2 linked regions of the Oreochromis niloticus genome follow. The protein of the gene in region 1 interacts with the protein of each later gene in a pairwise test. Links are inferred from orthologs where the notes say so. Each region holds a gene or a part of one and is shown on either strand. Other genes may lie near its edges. The genes, in order: transducin-like enhancer protein 1 and foxa2.

Region 1 (7,729 bases):
CAGCAGGTATACCATTGCCTCGTTGTAGTGTGTTTGTGTTGTATACAAATGATGTGAAGGGACTTTCTGACAGTCTTTCTATAATGACTCCACCCACATTGAGGTGATACTCAGTTGTAATGGAAAATGATGGAAACCGGGTAGAGTAGATTTGAGTCGAATCGAGCCAAATAGTGTGCTGGGGGACTTCCCCTGCTGCACTGAGCGTTTCCTCTCCACACTACTCTTTTCATTTTCTGTGTTTTACTTCTAACATAATTTGTGATGTGTCCTTGTCTCCCTGTGCTTTCCATTTTTCTTGTATTTCCCTCCATCCCGTAATCAATCACAGCACATAGCTGCCCCTCTCTGGATAATTCTGGATGCATCTTCCTGTTAAAAGGGAGTTCTTCCTTCCCACTTTCGCCAAGTGCACGATATGGAGGTTTTATTTTGTTAGGCTACATTAAAGCACCTTGAGGAAACTGTTCTTGCGAGTTGGTGCCATATAATTTAAATTAAACTGAACTGTATTTAAAAACCGCCAGTCTTTCTTTTAAGAAAAAATTCAGCATTTGTGACTCAAAAACATCACTTTATTTTTACAAGTCTAAAATTTTAATTGTATACGTACAACAGCAAAAAAGGACTATTCTATTCCATCTATTCTAAAACACATTTTAATTCACATTTAAATGTCATATTGACATAAAATGCAGGGCGTTCTATTATACAGGACATGTGGTTTTCTGTGTTTTTACCTTTTTTCCCAGTAACCTGTGGTTAACATTAGGTAGAAACAATTTGTCTCATTCATCACTTTCATAACTCCTCAACACTTTGTGGTGTCTTGTGTCTATAACCTCAAATGCAAATCTCTCATAAAGTAATAATAAAATGCTAATCATCCTGTTTATTTGAGGATACTCTACATGTATTGCCTCATATTGAAAATATAGTGTTAAATAAAACACTGTAGTGCAGAAAAGACTTCAAACAGAAAACATGGATCTGCTACTTTTTCTTAATATAATGAATAGTTTAACTATGGATGTTGTGTTGTGTATTAAAAAGATTTAGTTTTGACTGATGTGTGACCTTTAACTATTATTTGATGGGCTGTAAGGATCTTTGCATTGAGGTGAGTTAAGGTAAGGAAAAAAGGAGCATGTTGCCTTGTGCTTCTTCTTGTTTTGCTGTTTGTAGAACTAATGGAGCACTAAAAATGTTAATGATTACAAGCCCAATTTTGAAAAGGTTAGGATGCTCTGTAAAGAGTAAATCAAAATAGATTGCAATGATTTGCACTGAACCATATTTATTCACAAAAGAACATAAAAAACATCAAATATTTAGATTTTTACTATTTCATGAGAAATAATAGCTAAATTTTAATTTGATGGCCGCAACATGCCTCACCTCACAATAAGTTGGGATGGATGTAAAAGTTGGACGCCTGTGATCTTTGGGCCCTTGGGAACCACTGTGTTAAAAACAGGGATGATTCTGTCATGCAAATCACTGAAGAGTGATTAAATGAGGAAGACTATGAGGAAGAGCGGAAAACTGTTTTGTGATCAGATGAATCGAAATTTGAAATTCTTTTTGGAAAACATGGACACTGCATCCTCTGGGCTTAAGAGGACAGGGACCATCTGGTTTGTTCTCAGCACTCAGTTCAAAAGTCTCTGACGCTATGGTGGTATAATAGGGAATGGAACTTGCAGCTTCCACATCTGGAAAGGCATCAATGCTGAAAGGTACATAGAAGTTTTAGAGCAACGTGTCCTATAAGATGACATTTTTTTCTTGGAAGGCCTTGCATATGTCAGCAAGACAATACTAAACCGCATCTTCCATTTATTTTACAACAGCATGACTTTGTAGTAGAAGAGTCCAGATGCTGAACTGGTTTGTTTGCGGTCCACTCCTTCCAACAACTAAAAAAAAATGGCAGATCATGAAATGGAAAATATGATAAGGAAGACCCAGGACAGCTGAGCAGCTAGAATGCCGTATCAGACAAGAATGGGGCGACATTGCTCTAAAGGGGGCCAACCGCTGGTCTCCACAGTTCCCAGACATTTACAGAGTGGTAAAGAAGAGGGGATACTACACAGGTGTAAATGTGGCAGTATTCCAACTTTTGAGACATGTTGCTGCCACCAAATTCAAAATGTGCAAATATTTTTCTTAAAAGATTTGATGTGTTCTCTCTGGTCTATTGTAAATAAAGTATGAATTTATGAGATTTTTTTTTTTTATTGTTCAGCACATCACAACTTTGCAGAACTGGGATTGTACCTCTTTTTTGTAGGAACTTATTACACAGTATGGAGAAGTTATTGATCTAAATTTTAGATTACGCTTCAGGTATACTCAATGAGGCCAACACTGCACTTGATCATGAACAACTGAATCTGCACTAATGGCAAAAAAAAAGAAAAGATTACATTAAACCTTGAAGCATTTGGGAAGAACAGAAGAGAAGATGGGGGAACTGGGGCCATAAAAGTGTAGCAATGTGCATAATTCAGTGCACCGTAGAGAGGTTTAAGAAGGGAAAACAATAAAAAACAAAACATTATGCAGCAAACAGATAAGTAGCCAAGATTCTAAAAACATGCTGTAAATTTTAGAAATGACACAGACTCAGGGTGATTTTCTTTAGTGGAAATTTACCATATATTCATAGGCAGTAACTGTGATTAACTGTAGCTCCAGAAGCCAGTCGCATACAGCCAAAATGAATAAATTAATATAAACAGTCTAAATGAAAAGGTCCAACCATTAGGTTGATGCAGCACAAAATTTGCCTGTGAATGCCAAACAGTGTGGCTAACTCACATTTCAAGGCAGTCCTGGTTGTTCATTTTAGAGGGGCCCGGGGTGGGGTGAGGGTGTGGGTCACAGGCAGCAAAGGTTAACACGAATGTGAACCAACACTTATAAAAGACAAAATGCATTTAAGCACCCGCACAAATGTGTAGCTGCACATGCAAACCTTTGTAACCGTACCACCCACTCCACAGCACCTGCGTGTCTGTGCATGTGTGAGACCTGCAAAAAACAGGTCACTGTTGGTCACAGTCAGGAGCCTCTCATACGGACTGGATCAGCCGCCGTAGAGGTCAGAGGTCACGTGGGTCAGAGGGTTGAGGTCTCTAAGCCAATCACGGGCCAGTGTGTGGCTGAGGGGCCATCCAGTGTGAAGTGAGCAGTACTTCGATGGGATAAGAGGAGTAGAGAAGATCCCACGAGCCTCCTTTATGACTCAGCTTCAAACACACCTCGCCAGTCACAACGTGGTGACTTCAGCCATGCAGTATTTCATCAGGTAGCTGGCACAAAAACACCCCAAAATGAGTGCAATTTACCAATAGCCTTTATTGGCAATGGAGCTATAACCTGTGCTTGTTTGCTAGGAGAGCAATAAATGGTGACATCTTTATTTTAAAAACATTGCTGAAACTTTTATGTGCAAGAGATATGGTCTTCATTTTTGATGAAGGTGGCAAGTTATATTTCTTCACACATTTTCAATAAAAGCCCCTTTCTCATTTATGTTTTTGTATTCATGTCTTTAGCAGCAACTCTAACTACTCTTGTTACCTGCTTGTTACCTGTTAGCGTGTCTTTATTTACAGCTGCTTCAATCTGGCTTTGACTGCTGGTATAATAAAATACCATTCTGTGAGCTTTATTACAACGAATCAGGAATTCCCCTGGCATTTTTCTGCTTTCTTTGGGTCAAAATCACATTTGCACAATGCCGAGCTACGTTTTTGAAGAGATATAAAGACATCACAGTACAAGTAAGGGTTTTGGATTTGTCCTTGGCCAGCGAAGGAAACATGATGAGGCAAACTGAGCTATCTCTGTAGACTGACTGTATGAAAATAGCAATAAACTGCAACAGATGAGCAGCATAATTAGATTTTTTTAGGAGAAGCAGAACATAAAGAGCGTTCAAGTCCTACTAAATCAATTCCCACGCTGAAAATTATTACATAGAGGGGGAGAGAAAGCAGAGGAAGAGAGAGATTTGGGGTTATTTGTCATGACACTTGCTGGGAAGGTTCACGGCGGCTAAGAAAAACAATATTTCTGTTTTTCTGTTTGTGTGTTTGCCTGTTAATGTGTGCGTGTGTGTATGTGTGTGGACGCGCACATTTACAGCTCTGCTCCTGGTGAACCCACGTTACTTTGATTGACAGCTGAGACTTGCCTTTTTCCCCACCGCACTGCCCGCCCTGCGCGCTTCCGAAGTGGCAGCTCCTTGCGACGCGCTGATTGGTCAAAATCTGCGTAGCTCAACGAGGTCAACAGAATCAGGGAACTTTGCAGAGAGGCTATTGGTCAGTTTCATAACCCACATCATTTTCCCCACGTGGAGCGGAGACTGTGATTGGTGCGGAGGCGTTTTGTGGGCTGGCCTATAGTTTCGGTTAGCTGGGTGAGCGTGAAACCGCGTGAGAAAGTTGCCATTGAGGTAAAGCAGAGCAGGACCGTGAACAGTTCCCGCCGCTGTGGGAGTTGTTGTTATCAAAATTAACGACATATTTCCTCGTTTTTTTATTTTTTGTCTTAAAAACGAGAAATCTATTTTGGAGGCAAGGCTTGCTTCCACACCGATCGAGGAAGTAAATATTTCTGTATTTGTTGACCGTTCAACCGCCAGCCAGTGACCGCGGCGAGTCAAGTGGGAACTCTTCTCTGCAATTAACTTGTGTGGATTTGTTTCTGATGCTCTGAATGAGCGCCGGCAGTTTGCGGCTGTCTGTTGAGGATCTACGGGGTTGATTTTATCTTGTTTGTTTGTTTGGTCGGCTCTCCGTACTCGGAATACATCAGTTCGCACACAAAACAAACGTCGGAGTGGCGAAGGTGGCTCCAGCCCTATTTTTTTTTCTCACCTGGCTCTCCTGTCCTTCTCTTCCCTCCCCCTTCAGCTGCTTTCAACTAATGAGCCGTTTCCCGTGTTTTTCCGGTTGATTTACGGTCGCGCTGCCTGTGGAGCGGAGGACAGACGACGACCGAGAGACGGGAAGAAGCGGAAATTCACGTTAAACGGTCGGTGAACCCAGACGAAGCGGACAAGCGGTCGGTGCCTTTTTTTTTTCTTTTTTAATTAACGATCGTTGGTCCTAATAACAACGGCGGATGGATTCCTCTCCGTGATTGGGAGCTTCCCACAACCTTACTTTTCACCCCCATTTGATCCCACTTTGACGGGGTTTTAAGAAGGAAACGGTTTCATCCTCCCGGAGATAACAATGTTTCCCCAGGGGCGACACCCGGTAAGACGCTCTTTGTGCATTAACAGACGCTCACTTCACCGGGCTCAACCGGGTAACATTACCTCGTTATATGACCCGCCCCTCCGGGCTGCCTATGTGTTTATATTAAGCTCAGTCTTCTAACTAATTGGGCTCTACAGTGGGATTGATTATATTGCGTTTTGGCTTTTTGTGTGTGTTTTTTAAATAACGACTAATATTTAGAAGTTGTTGATATTGTATTTGTGCTTAAAAGTATCAGATTCATAATGTAGACAACAAAATGTGCCAGTGTGATGTTAGTAATCTGTGTGTGTGTGTGTGTGTGTGTGTGTGTACGCGCGCGCACGCGCCAGACGCCCCACCAGGCTCCAGGCCAGCCCTTCAAGTTCACCATCCCAGAGTCACTGGACCGCATCAAGGAGGAGTTTCAGTTTCTTCAGGCACAGTACCACAGGTGGATAACACAAACACTCAATTCACGTTTTCCTCTATTGTCATCTGCCCTCCCAACACTAAACTTCACCCTAACCACAGTCATCCTCATAACCATAATGAACAAAACCTCAACCCTGGCTTCAGACTAACCCATAAACCTGGATTAGGTTCACGTACACATACAAAAGTGCACACATATGCAAGCAGGCATCAGTGTTAGCGCTTGCACTGCGGTAGGTCTACATCTTCTTGATGGGTGAGAGCCAGAGGGGTGGCGTGTGGGCTTAGGGTTTCATAAATCACGCCTTATTTTCCCCTGTGTGTGTAGCTGTGTAGGGAAAAGGCTTGCTCAAGTACTGCATGTGAGCAGAGTGTTTCTTTTTTTCTTTTTGTTTTTTTTTAACTTTGCTCTAGATGTTGTCAGGGTGGGTCATTCACAACAGGTGAAAGCTAGACCTGGATGTTTCTGATTTACATATTCAAAGAAGAGGATTGTCATAAACATATACCCATTATTTGACGGGAACAGTCATCGCGTTTTCCATTTTTGCACCAATTCTTTTGAAACATCTCCATGGACTGTTTTAGAGGGTGTTTAAATCATCAAGCAAGAGGGGCGAGAGAAAGAATGAAAACTGATTAGTTTAACTTGAAATGTTGAGTTCCACTCAAAGTAAATGGTGTATTGTTTTTCTTGTTGTTTTTTTTAAGTCTCAAACTGGAGTGTGAGAAGCTGGCCAGTGAAAAAACAGAGATGCAGAGGCACTACGTCATGGTGAGCTCCCTATACTCAATTCATTTGCCCTGCAGGGTCACACATCACATGCAGGAGTTCTAAAGTTTCCTAGAGGAGAAAGTTGTCCATATCTTATAAAGCAGAATACAAATTCCTATCTGAAGACTCGCAATACAAAATATATGTATTGTTAATACTAAATGAAGGGAAGAGGAAGAGCAACGTGCAAGTGTCACCTGCTTTTACTGTGCAAAGATGCTGTGCTGTTACGACTTTTCATGTTGATTTAAAATGTGTTTCACTGTTTCAGAAAATAAAATATACACGAGAGCTTACGTTTCACTTTTAATCACTGAAGTTTTACCTCTTTTACACAAAGCAATGTGGCTGTGTGTCAAAAGCTTTTCATCTAGCGCAGAAACAAACATAACATGGACAGGAATGCTGTTCAGTTCAGATTGTTTGTGAGGATGTTGCATTGCCTCATGTTCAAGTTAAAAAGCATTTGACTTGCATGTTTTGACTTTCAAAGTAGTTTGACCTCTTTGTGGAACACTTCATTTAAAAGGATCTGCAAATATCTTGAAAGACATCTACAGTGTAGCTAATTATTGTTTAAGTTATTCAAGCTTTTTCTTTCAGGGGTTTAGGATTTGTTTCACCCTTCTAACCTTCTCACTCTTTGCCCCCCCCAGTACTATGAGATGTCGTATGGCCTCAACATTGAAATGCACAAACAGGTATGGCTGCTCGTCCACTCTGTCGGTCCTCTTGTTTATCTCTCTTCCTCTCATGGATGGATTTTGATGTATGTGGAGTGTGGGCCTGTTGACGTGTCCTTGTGTGTGCACAAGTGCATTTGTGTGTGTGTGTGTGTGTGTGTGTCTCTCTCTCTCTTTTACTGTATACGTGTATATGTGTGTTTATTTGTGATCGATGGGGCTCTGTCTCCATTTCCCCAGTTAGGGCCGGCCGGCTGAGCCCAGAGGCAGGATGAATGGCTCTGTAGATTGATTGGTGCTGTCTAGGGGAGCGGCCTGCTTTATTACATTAGAGGGGCAGGGCTGGTGAGGGCAGAGGAATCGATCACGGTGAGGCAGACGGAGGAGATACAGTGGAGCTCTCCCTTTTTGAAGCTGGGAGCTTAACACAGTAACGAGGCAGACTCAAATATGAAGCGCACAATAACAAGGGCAATTACCCAATCAGTGTACATGCACATGCAGAAAGGCAAGGGCACTTTTGCATAGCCCTAAGTAATGTATGCAAAAACGTGAGGATAGTGACAGTTTCAGTT
Region 2 (8,318 bases), on another chromosome or scaffold:
CCGCTAGCTATTAGCCGCTTTTTTTCTTTCAAACCTCCTTTTTCCTCACTTCAGTTTAAAAATATTATATTATAGAATGTGGCGCACTGGCTACATCTCCTTTTTTTCATATAAATATTTGAATTTGTGGTTGGGATTAATGAGCATATATGTGTGTTGTTTACATTTCCTGAATGACAAATTGGGAGCATTGTTCCCGGTTTTATCCAGCAAAGCTATTAATCCAAGCTGACTGTGCGCCTTACGTGGGTAAGAATAAATTCCAGAATTTGAATTAAATAAATAAATACATCGTGAGAAACGTATTTTATGATCCCAAACATGGATGAATGGATTCGTTTTTGTTATGATAATATAAACCAAAACTGGACTAAATTAATGCCGCCTCAAGTTGTATCTTTCTCCTGCAAATTCTCCGTTTGAAGTTCGTTTTTTGGATAAAATCTAATTTTTCCTATAATAATAATAATAATAATAATAATAATAATAATAATAATAATAAATGGTCCAACACCGTGACATTCAGAAAACAAAACCAATAACACTTTAATATAGATTCTGTTCTTGTCACTACAAGAATACACATATACAAGCCATAAATAGGAATTACACAAATGATTGAACAAATCCAGCGAGGCATTTCGAGTCATTTACGAGTCCAGTTATGCGGACGCAGGCTATTTTACAGCAAGTTGTTGTTGGTTGTCTTTGGGTCCAGTCCTGAAACCAACTTCTGAGCAGATTTCCGTCACATTATCAGTGTTTTTTAATCATTAATATCAGCATCCTCTCAAAATAATTAGGCTACTAACAAACTCGACAACTAAAACTGTGGGAAACGTCAAAAATATCTGAAATACATATTGTACACAAAGTCTATACTTTTTTCTTTTACAAATGTACAAAGTGAATGGGAAGAAAGTCCACATTACATGAGGGGATAAAAGAGTTTACGAGGAGTTCATGATTGGTCTGGAATAGACACCTTGGTAGTAAGTTGTGTCAGGTATGGATGAAGAATCCAGACCGGCTTTCCCCGCCATGGAGCCCATGGAAAGAGGTCCCGCCATGGGGGAGCCATAGCCGGAGTAATGCATCACCTGCTCGTAAGTCTTTAAGTCCATTTTGTGATGCTGCTGCTCCGAGGACATGAGGTTATTTATGGAGAAAGGGTGGTTGAAGGAGTAGTGGTGCTCCGGCTTCAGGTGGGCTTCGTGCGCAAGAACCGAGTGATGCTGAGACATGAGGTGCTGCCCCTGCGTCACCGGGCTAGCAGCGGTGTGCTCCGGGCTCAGGGCCTGGCTCGTCTTCATGTCCGACAGGGACCTTTTGTGGTCGCTGGAGGAGGAGTTGGAGAGCGGGGACTCGTTGCCGTTGCAGCTCTCTGAGCTGCTGTTGGAGGAGCCGCCGTCCCCTGACTTGCGGCCCGGTTCCTTCATCTTCTTGTCGCACTTAAAGCGTTTCTGCCTCCTCAGGTAGCAGCCGTTCTCGAACATGTTCCCGGAGTCCGGGTGCAGAGTCCAAAACGAGCCTTTCCCCGGTTTATCCGGCGACCTGGGCACTTTGACGAAACAGTCATTGAAAGACAAAGAGTGGCGAATGGAGTTCTGCCAGCGCTGCTGGTTCTGTCGGTAAAACGGGAAGAGGTCCATTATCCACTGGTAGATCTCGGCTAGTGTCAGCATCTTGCTCGGGGACTGCTGGATGGCCATGGTGATGAGAGAAATGTAGGAGTACGGGGGTTTGGCGTGCGTGTAGCTCCTGCGGTAGGTCTTTGGGTCTCTGGACCTGTTGATGTTAGACTGTCCGTATATCGGGCTCATGGCGTTCATGTTTGAGTACGACGTGAGGGCGTTCATAGACGCGGGCTGTGCGGTCATGGGACTCATGCTGGGGCTCAGGGCTGCGCTCATTGCCGTCATCCCTGCGCCCATGCCGTTCATGGCTCCGGTTCCCGGTGACATGCCGGTCATGGAGGGGCTCATGCCCGTGTTGACGTATGACATATTCATGGAGTTGGCCGTCATGTTGGCAGTGGTGCTCATGCCGGACATGCTCATGTAGGTATTCATAGAGTTCATTCCCAGGCCCGCGTTCATGTTGCCAACCGAGGTGTAACACTGTCAGTGAGGGAAAGAGGCATTCGTGAGTTTCATCTGGCATTGCAGCGAGGAATAAAGCGGCACAGTGATTTCTAAACACGGCGAATCGTTATCATTTGAGCCTGATAAAAATCGCCTTATTCATCTCCATAAATAATACTGAATATTTTAAAGCTTCCCGGTTTCGTAAGTGTGAAGTGGCATTGTAAGCGTTTGCTCTCGCGCGAAGTATTTCCTAGAAATGAAAAACAGGGGTGTGTATATTTAACAATATATTTAACGCCACTATTACAACAAAACATAAATAAATAAATAAAATTGAGGTGACTATTCCTCTTAAAATGTGCAACCTAGATGAAAATCGTACTCGGTGTGCGTGTGTCCACTGAAAAATCTGCCCGAAATCAAACGGCACACGTGTTTATTGGGTGGAAACCTGACCAACAATAACCCGATTTAGTAGAAACACGTAGAGACTTATGAAATTATAATCCGAGCGAAAAGTTTCTTCCCCTACATGTCAAGCAACTTTGTTAGGATAGTGCGCTGCGTGGAGATGGGGGAGGATTTGGAGGCGCCTCAAGTCAATATTTGATCACAAAGTTAATATTATCTCAGGGCTAATATTGAGTTGTATAAAATGGGATCGGCTTTAGACAGAAAAAAATATATATTTAAGGTACCCACCTCGGGCTCTCCGTAGTAGGTGCTCCAGTCGGTGTGTTCGTGTCCTTCCATTTTAACTGCTCCAAGCATCATGGAGGACTTTTACAAAGCGTCTCCCAGCAGAGGGAAAGCCAAAAGTCTCTCTAATAGCAGGTAACTGGGGACCACTGAGTGTATTTAGGTCGTCGGTGTGTCCCTTCGTCGAAGACTGGAGCATGTGTGTCTTATGGAGCCAGCCGTGAAATGCGTCTGTCAGTGACTGGAGTTCAAATGACGCTCCGTGCTGCTTGTTAACGCTGTGATATAGCTCTGTGCTCTAGGCAAGCCTCCAATCCCTACTTCTACGCCTTGGGCCCTATTTGAATAATCTCCTCGCACCTAGGCGTGAGACTCCTCGAGCATCCCCCCACCCCAATTGTACACCTGCGCTAACTGAAAAGAACAGTTTCATATGAAAAGCTTCATTATAAACTAATCTTATTGTATTTTGGTTGGGGCAGAAAAAGGGGGGGAGAACTATAAAAGGAATGTTTGGCGCTCTTCCTTGGTGCGCTTTTCATTACGCACATCCTCCAAAGTGCTTATTCCACTTCAGCTGAGCTCAAATCATAATCCATTTTATTGCGTTGCATTCAAGGAATTTATTGCCTAAGCCTACATATAAATTTTAACTATTTTACACCGAGAACACCAAAGAACACGAAAACGTTTAGAAATGAAGTAAAATCTCGTTTCAGCAAAAATCTCCACAGAGGAGTATTTAAGGCAGATTAAACCATTAACTGATACAGGATTAAATATTATTCTGCCATAGCTTTGTTGCTATATAAATCCAAGAACACATGTTTATGTCTTACATAAATGATAAGACACAGTTTTTAAACCTTTCTGATGTTCACCTGAAGAGGATTTCTCTTTCAGCTTTGCTTAGTCCACAGAAAAAGCAGCGAGATCCGTGTAAATGACCGCAGCTTGTTTGATACAATTGGTCATTTTAAACAATATCAAAACTTCCTACAAGCTAAAGTTTACATTTTGTCAGTACTAAAGTCCTTACCTCTTTCCCAACTAATGTAGGTGATATTTGCACAAAGGCACAGTTTAACCTGATTTCTTAACCTGGGAGACTGAATTACTGTTTCTAAATGTTTTAATTAGTGTCGAATACGCCAGGCACAGCTTCAGAGCGCCCTCTCTCGGATGCCACCTCCGACTGGCTCTACTGTCTGTGGCACATAAAGTCATTCTTTGAACTCAAACGCCCGTGAAATATTTTAAAATCAACGAAAGTTGGGCGCTTTTTCTTTAGGTTGACTCAAAAAAAGAGATGAAAAATAACCGAAATCAAGAAAAACACGGAAGTGATGACGTTACAGCCCACATTCTGATATTTAAATAGGTCATTCGAGAGTTCGCGTGGTTGTATAGGCAGACAGCTTTTCTGATTTTGTTTGTTGGGAGACCTTTTAAAGCACGAAACTCCTGTTTTTCATCAGACGTGCGGGCCTGCGTGTTGAGGGCCTCTCATTTTCGCAACCCGTACAGTATTTGTATGACACAAACATCAAGGTGAGGCTGCAGAGCGATGCCAGCCACGTGTCAGTAGTTGTACATCTATTTGACTGCATATTTACGCAAGAGCATAACTATCAGTATAGAGCCCCATTAGTAAAGGCGAGTAAACCTGTCGTGTTGACGAGGGACTAACACAGTCTGCTTAACTTGGAAATGAGATCATGAGAAAAAGCTCTGTGTGTTTGAGGATTTGGGATTGCACCGGCGGAGAGGTGGAAATGGAGAAAGCTGGAGATGGTCAAATCTGCGCTCTCCCGGCTCGACTGAGTCAACAACAATAAGTTTTGTGAAATGTTATTTTTGAAAGGGACAGTCGCTGCAAAATCACAAAACGCTTAAAACAAACAGTCATCTAATATTTGTGTATAATAGAGCCTTTATAAAGTGTTAAGGGCGGAAGATTAGGCGCGTTGAATATTTTTGGTGTGAGCTCATTATGGAGTAACTGGATTTCAAAGAAGACATTTTTCATAGATTTTAAAATATAATTTTAAAAAGGTTTTACAAATATTCTGACGCATTTCTGTTGCATAAATGTGCTAAAAAAAATCCGATCGTGAATGCTTGCATGGCCAGCCAGTATGTTTGTGTGTGTTACGCAACGATGTGGTCACGCTGAATGTGAAAAATGTTGCATATTTTCTTTTAAAAAGTATGAAAACGGGTTCAAAAAGGACCTGGAATGGTTCTGGTACCGCTAAATCCAATATATATGAGTTAAAAATATTATTTCATGATGTGCTTATTTTAAAATTACAGAAACTAAAAACCGTGAGCATTTTAAAAGGGTCCTTGACCTGTGTAACATTATGTTCCTGAATGAGACATGAAGCTAAATCCATGGTTAATCATCAACTTTCCAGAGTCCTCTCACATGAGTGAAGGTCACATTTTGGAAAAACAAAAAACTGGTGCAGGGCTTTATGCAGATGTAATTTCTATTCAGCGTATTTTGTTTTTCTTTATTATTCTTTGGTGTAGTGTTTGCATCCTCACTCCAGAACAATAACTGGCCTTTTCACAAAAAAATGTTACCTCCTCTCCACAGCAGACACTACATATCACTCTGACTCTATCTCACACTCTGTACAATTGTAACATTTTTATTTATGACCCCCTCTGACTTTGTCAGTGGAAAGAGATAACCAAAGAAATCACACGGTAAATTTGATATATGGGGCCTGACTTCAGTTTTTGGAAACGGAACAAAAAAAAAACAAGTAAAGAAAAAGTGTCAGCAAAGTGACAAAATGTGGAGAATTTCAGAAATGTGAGCTCCAAAACACAGTTTAAATGTTCCACAGAATCAGAACAAGTCCCTCCCGAATTTTAAAAGCCAGAGTAGTTAATCACTGCCTCTTTATGGTTGGTACAGAAAAGATGATTGAATCACCAAAGACTGAAAATCTTGCATTGCGTTACACTCGGCTTAAATTCAGAAGGTTAATTACACGTGCATGTATATACTTGTAAGCTGGTCTGTTAGTGAATAAAAAAATATGCCAAGTATCCATTCTTCTACCGTAATTATGTAAAACTGGACTAAAAAAAAGTAGCAATATAAAACGAAAATCTTTATCCAAAGATTTCAGAGTCTTTTTGATGTTTCACAGTCAAATTAAAGTAATGTTGTAAATCATTTTGCTTATGATTGAGGTTCAGACCAGGTAAACCTTTGGGTCAAATACAGGCAGTGTGTCCCTTTCTATTTAACCTCTGGTTTATTCCATTGACACCAGCTTTAAAATACGCACTTCAATAGTTCACTTCAACACACTGAGCAGGGAATCTAATGGCCTGATGGTCATTGCTGCAATATGTACAAACCGCTGCCACGTTTCTTGGCAGTTTTTCTGTTCCCAGCTGAAGCTTTCACAATCCCGCATGCACTGAAAATGAGGCCAGGACTGCATTGACTTGTTCTCATGAGATTGAGTCAGAACACAGCTCAGTGTGTTATTATAAAATTTATATATTTCCATTGAAAATTTCCTTGTGGCACCTGAACCAGCAGTGTAGCCCTCTTTCTCCTCCAGTTAGATTTGCCACACTCTGGATTAATTAGCCTTTAGGATGATGGGTGTTACATTTCACACATTTAGGTGTCATTCCTTTATTGGTTATGATAAGGGAATCCACTAAGTGGTGAAAATGTAATGACTGAGTTAAAGAGGTGAAAGCAAAGCACACACGTGGCCCCAAAATGACACCAGGAAGTTTTCTTGGGTGCAGGGCAGGGGGATGGAAACGGATAGATCTCTGCTCGGTGAGAGGAAGGTGGAACATTCCTTCAAACACCCAGGAGCTGTTGGCAGTTATGTGCTAGCTTTAAGTTCCAACTTTCAAAGTAAGGATTTTTTTCTCAACTGAAATTAAAAGCTCTGCTGAAGAATGCACCTTTTTGTGCCTTTCTACCCTCCTGAGTACACCGAGCCACACAAAACAGCACAGGGCAAAGGGTTAAGCATGTAATTCATCAAAATAAAATTAATAACAAGAGAGTCTTCCTCTTGGAAAGTGCTGGAAAAAAAAATGTTTGCGGCCAACTTGCCTGTGGTGACAGTAAACATTCCAGAGCCGGGCTGGAGTTTGGACCTGCCATTATCTGCCACAGCTGTGACAACGCCTGTTGGCTGCAGGTTTGTGGCTGGCCACACTGTGTTTACCTGGAAATGAATCTGAAAAGCGGCCGGACTGGGAAGGCACACAACCTAGCTAAATAAAAACTGAGAGTGGCCATTGCAACGAGATGCAGTGGGAGGCAGTCCAAAGTTATTGCACTGGCCCCAGTGGGTCAGGGCGCAAACACAGGCGTAAACGCAGTAAGGCTATCCTCAAACACGCACCTTTTGATATTGAGAGGAATGCAGCGAGGAATGCCATTCGATATGTTTTATGTTGACTGTATCCAAGGCATTGTAGATGCAATACTTTCCTCTTGTCATGTTAGAAAAAGAACCTGTGTTTACCGCCGGCCTTCATCTGTCAAACAAGGTGACAGTTTATCTATTGGACCACAGGAGTAGAATGAGGAAGATGAAATCCTGAGAGATGGAAGGATCCAACGCGCTGAACTAGAATTTTGAGTGTTTATGTTGTTGCAGTTTATTCTTCTGACAGGTTTGGAAATTAATTTTGTCTGAGAAAAAAAAGCTGCTTTATTCATAATTAATACATGATTTGCAAAAACCTTCTAGATTATATTTGGTTGTCAGGTTGTGAGAGCAACAAAATAATACAAATTTACTGCTATATTAAGTGTTTTTAACACTTATAGCCACACACTTAGTGGGTCATATAAGACTGAGACACACGTGGGCATAAATTATGTTATTTAAATGAACCCAGTTTAAACTCAACTGAAAGAAGTACGTGCTTAACCCTGTAACACCAAGTGTGTCTTTTCAGAGCTTCTCAGACTTCTACATCAGCGGTGTGATTTGTTTTTTCCCCAACCAAAATAAATTGATCAAATTATTTTAAGTAATAAATTGACAAACAAAAAGTGCCAGATGTAGCAAATATAATATAAATTAAAACCCATATATGCAAATAGATATTGAATTTGTCAGAAGGTTCAATAAAAACTTAATTTTCAAAATAAATTTGAATTTTTTGGCAATTATTTAATTGCTCAGGCTTTACAGGGTTGCTGGATATAAAGCTACAGGTTTAAAGGCTAAAATACTTGGGGGGGGGGTAAACTTTAGCATTATTGTGATTTCTTATATACCCACACTCTGACATAGATCAGATGCCACGACTCCTTGTGCTTTCTGAACTTTCTACAAAACGTGGATGGGTTGTGTATTAGAGCCAGAAGATTTAATATCACCAAATCAGCACATTGTTATTCATTAGTGGACCAACTGCAGAGTCAATACACATTTAATCACAGACTGAAGGCAATTAGAACAGGAGCAGAGCCACTGGTGCTATGTTAATTAAAGTGCCAGGCTCCCATGGGAAGCACTG

The links.
Region 2: the proteins of transducin-like enhancer protein 1 (region 1) and foxa2 interact in a two-hybrid assay, tested with the Homo sapiens proteins (2 studies listed by BioGRID and IntAct). The link is inferred for Oreochromis niloticus from reciprocal best matches to the Homo sapiens genes TLE1 and FOXA2.

What each region holds. Positions count from the first base shown.
Region 1 is NC_031977.2:21,197,762-21,205,490, reverse strand, and holds the start of transducin-like enhancer protein 1, read left to right. Parts: upstream 1-4,411; 5' UTR 4,412-5,255; coding exon 5,256-5,279; intron 5,280-5,614; coding exon 5,615-5,715; intron 5,716-6,407; coding exon 6,408-6,471; intron 6,472-7,127; coding exon 7,128-7,172; intron 7,173-7,729. UniProt on the Homo sapiens protein: Transcriptional corepressor that binds to a number of transcription factors. Inhibits NF-kappa-B-regulated gene expression. Inhibits the transcriptional activation mediated by FOXA2, and by CTNNB1 and TCF family members in Wnt signaling.
Region 2 is NC_031983.2:28,013,176-28,021,493, forward strand, and holds foxa2 (forkhead box protein A2), read right to left. Parts: upstream 3,205-8,318; 5' UTR 2,862-3,204; coding exon 2,790-2,861; intron 2,121-2,789; coding exon 951-2,120; 3' UTR 522-950; downstream 1-521. UniProt on the Homo sapiens protein: Transcription factor that is involved in embryonic development, establishment of tissue-specific gene expression and regulation of gene expression in differentiated tissues.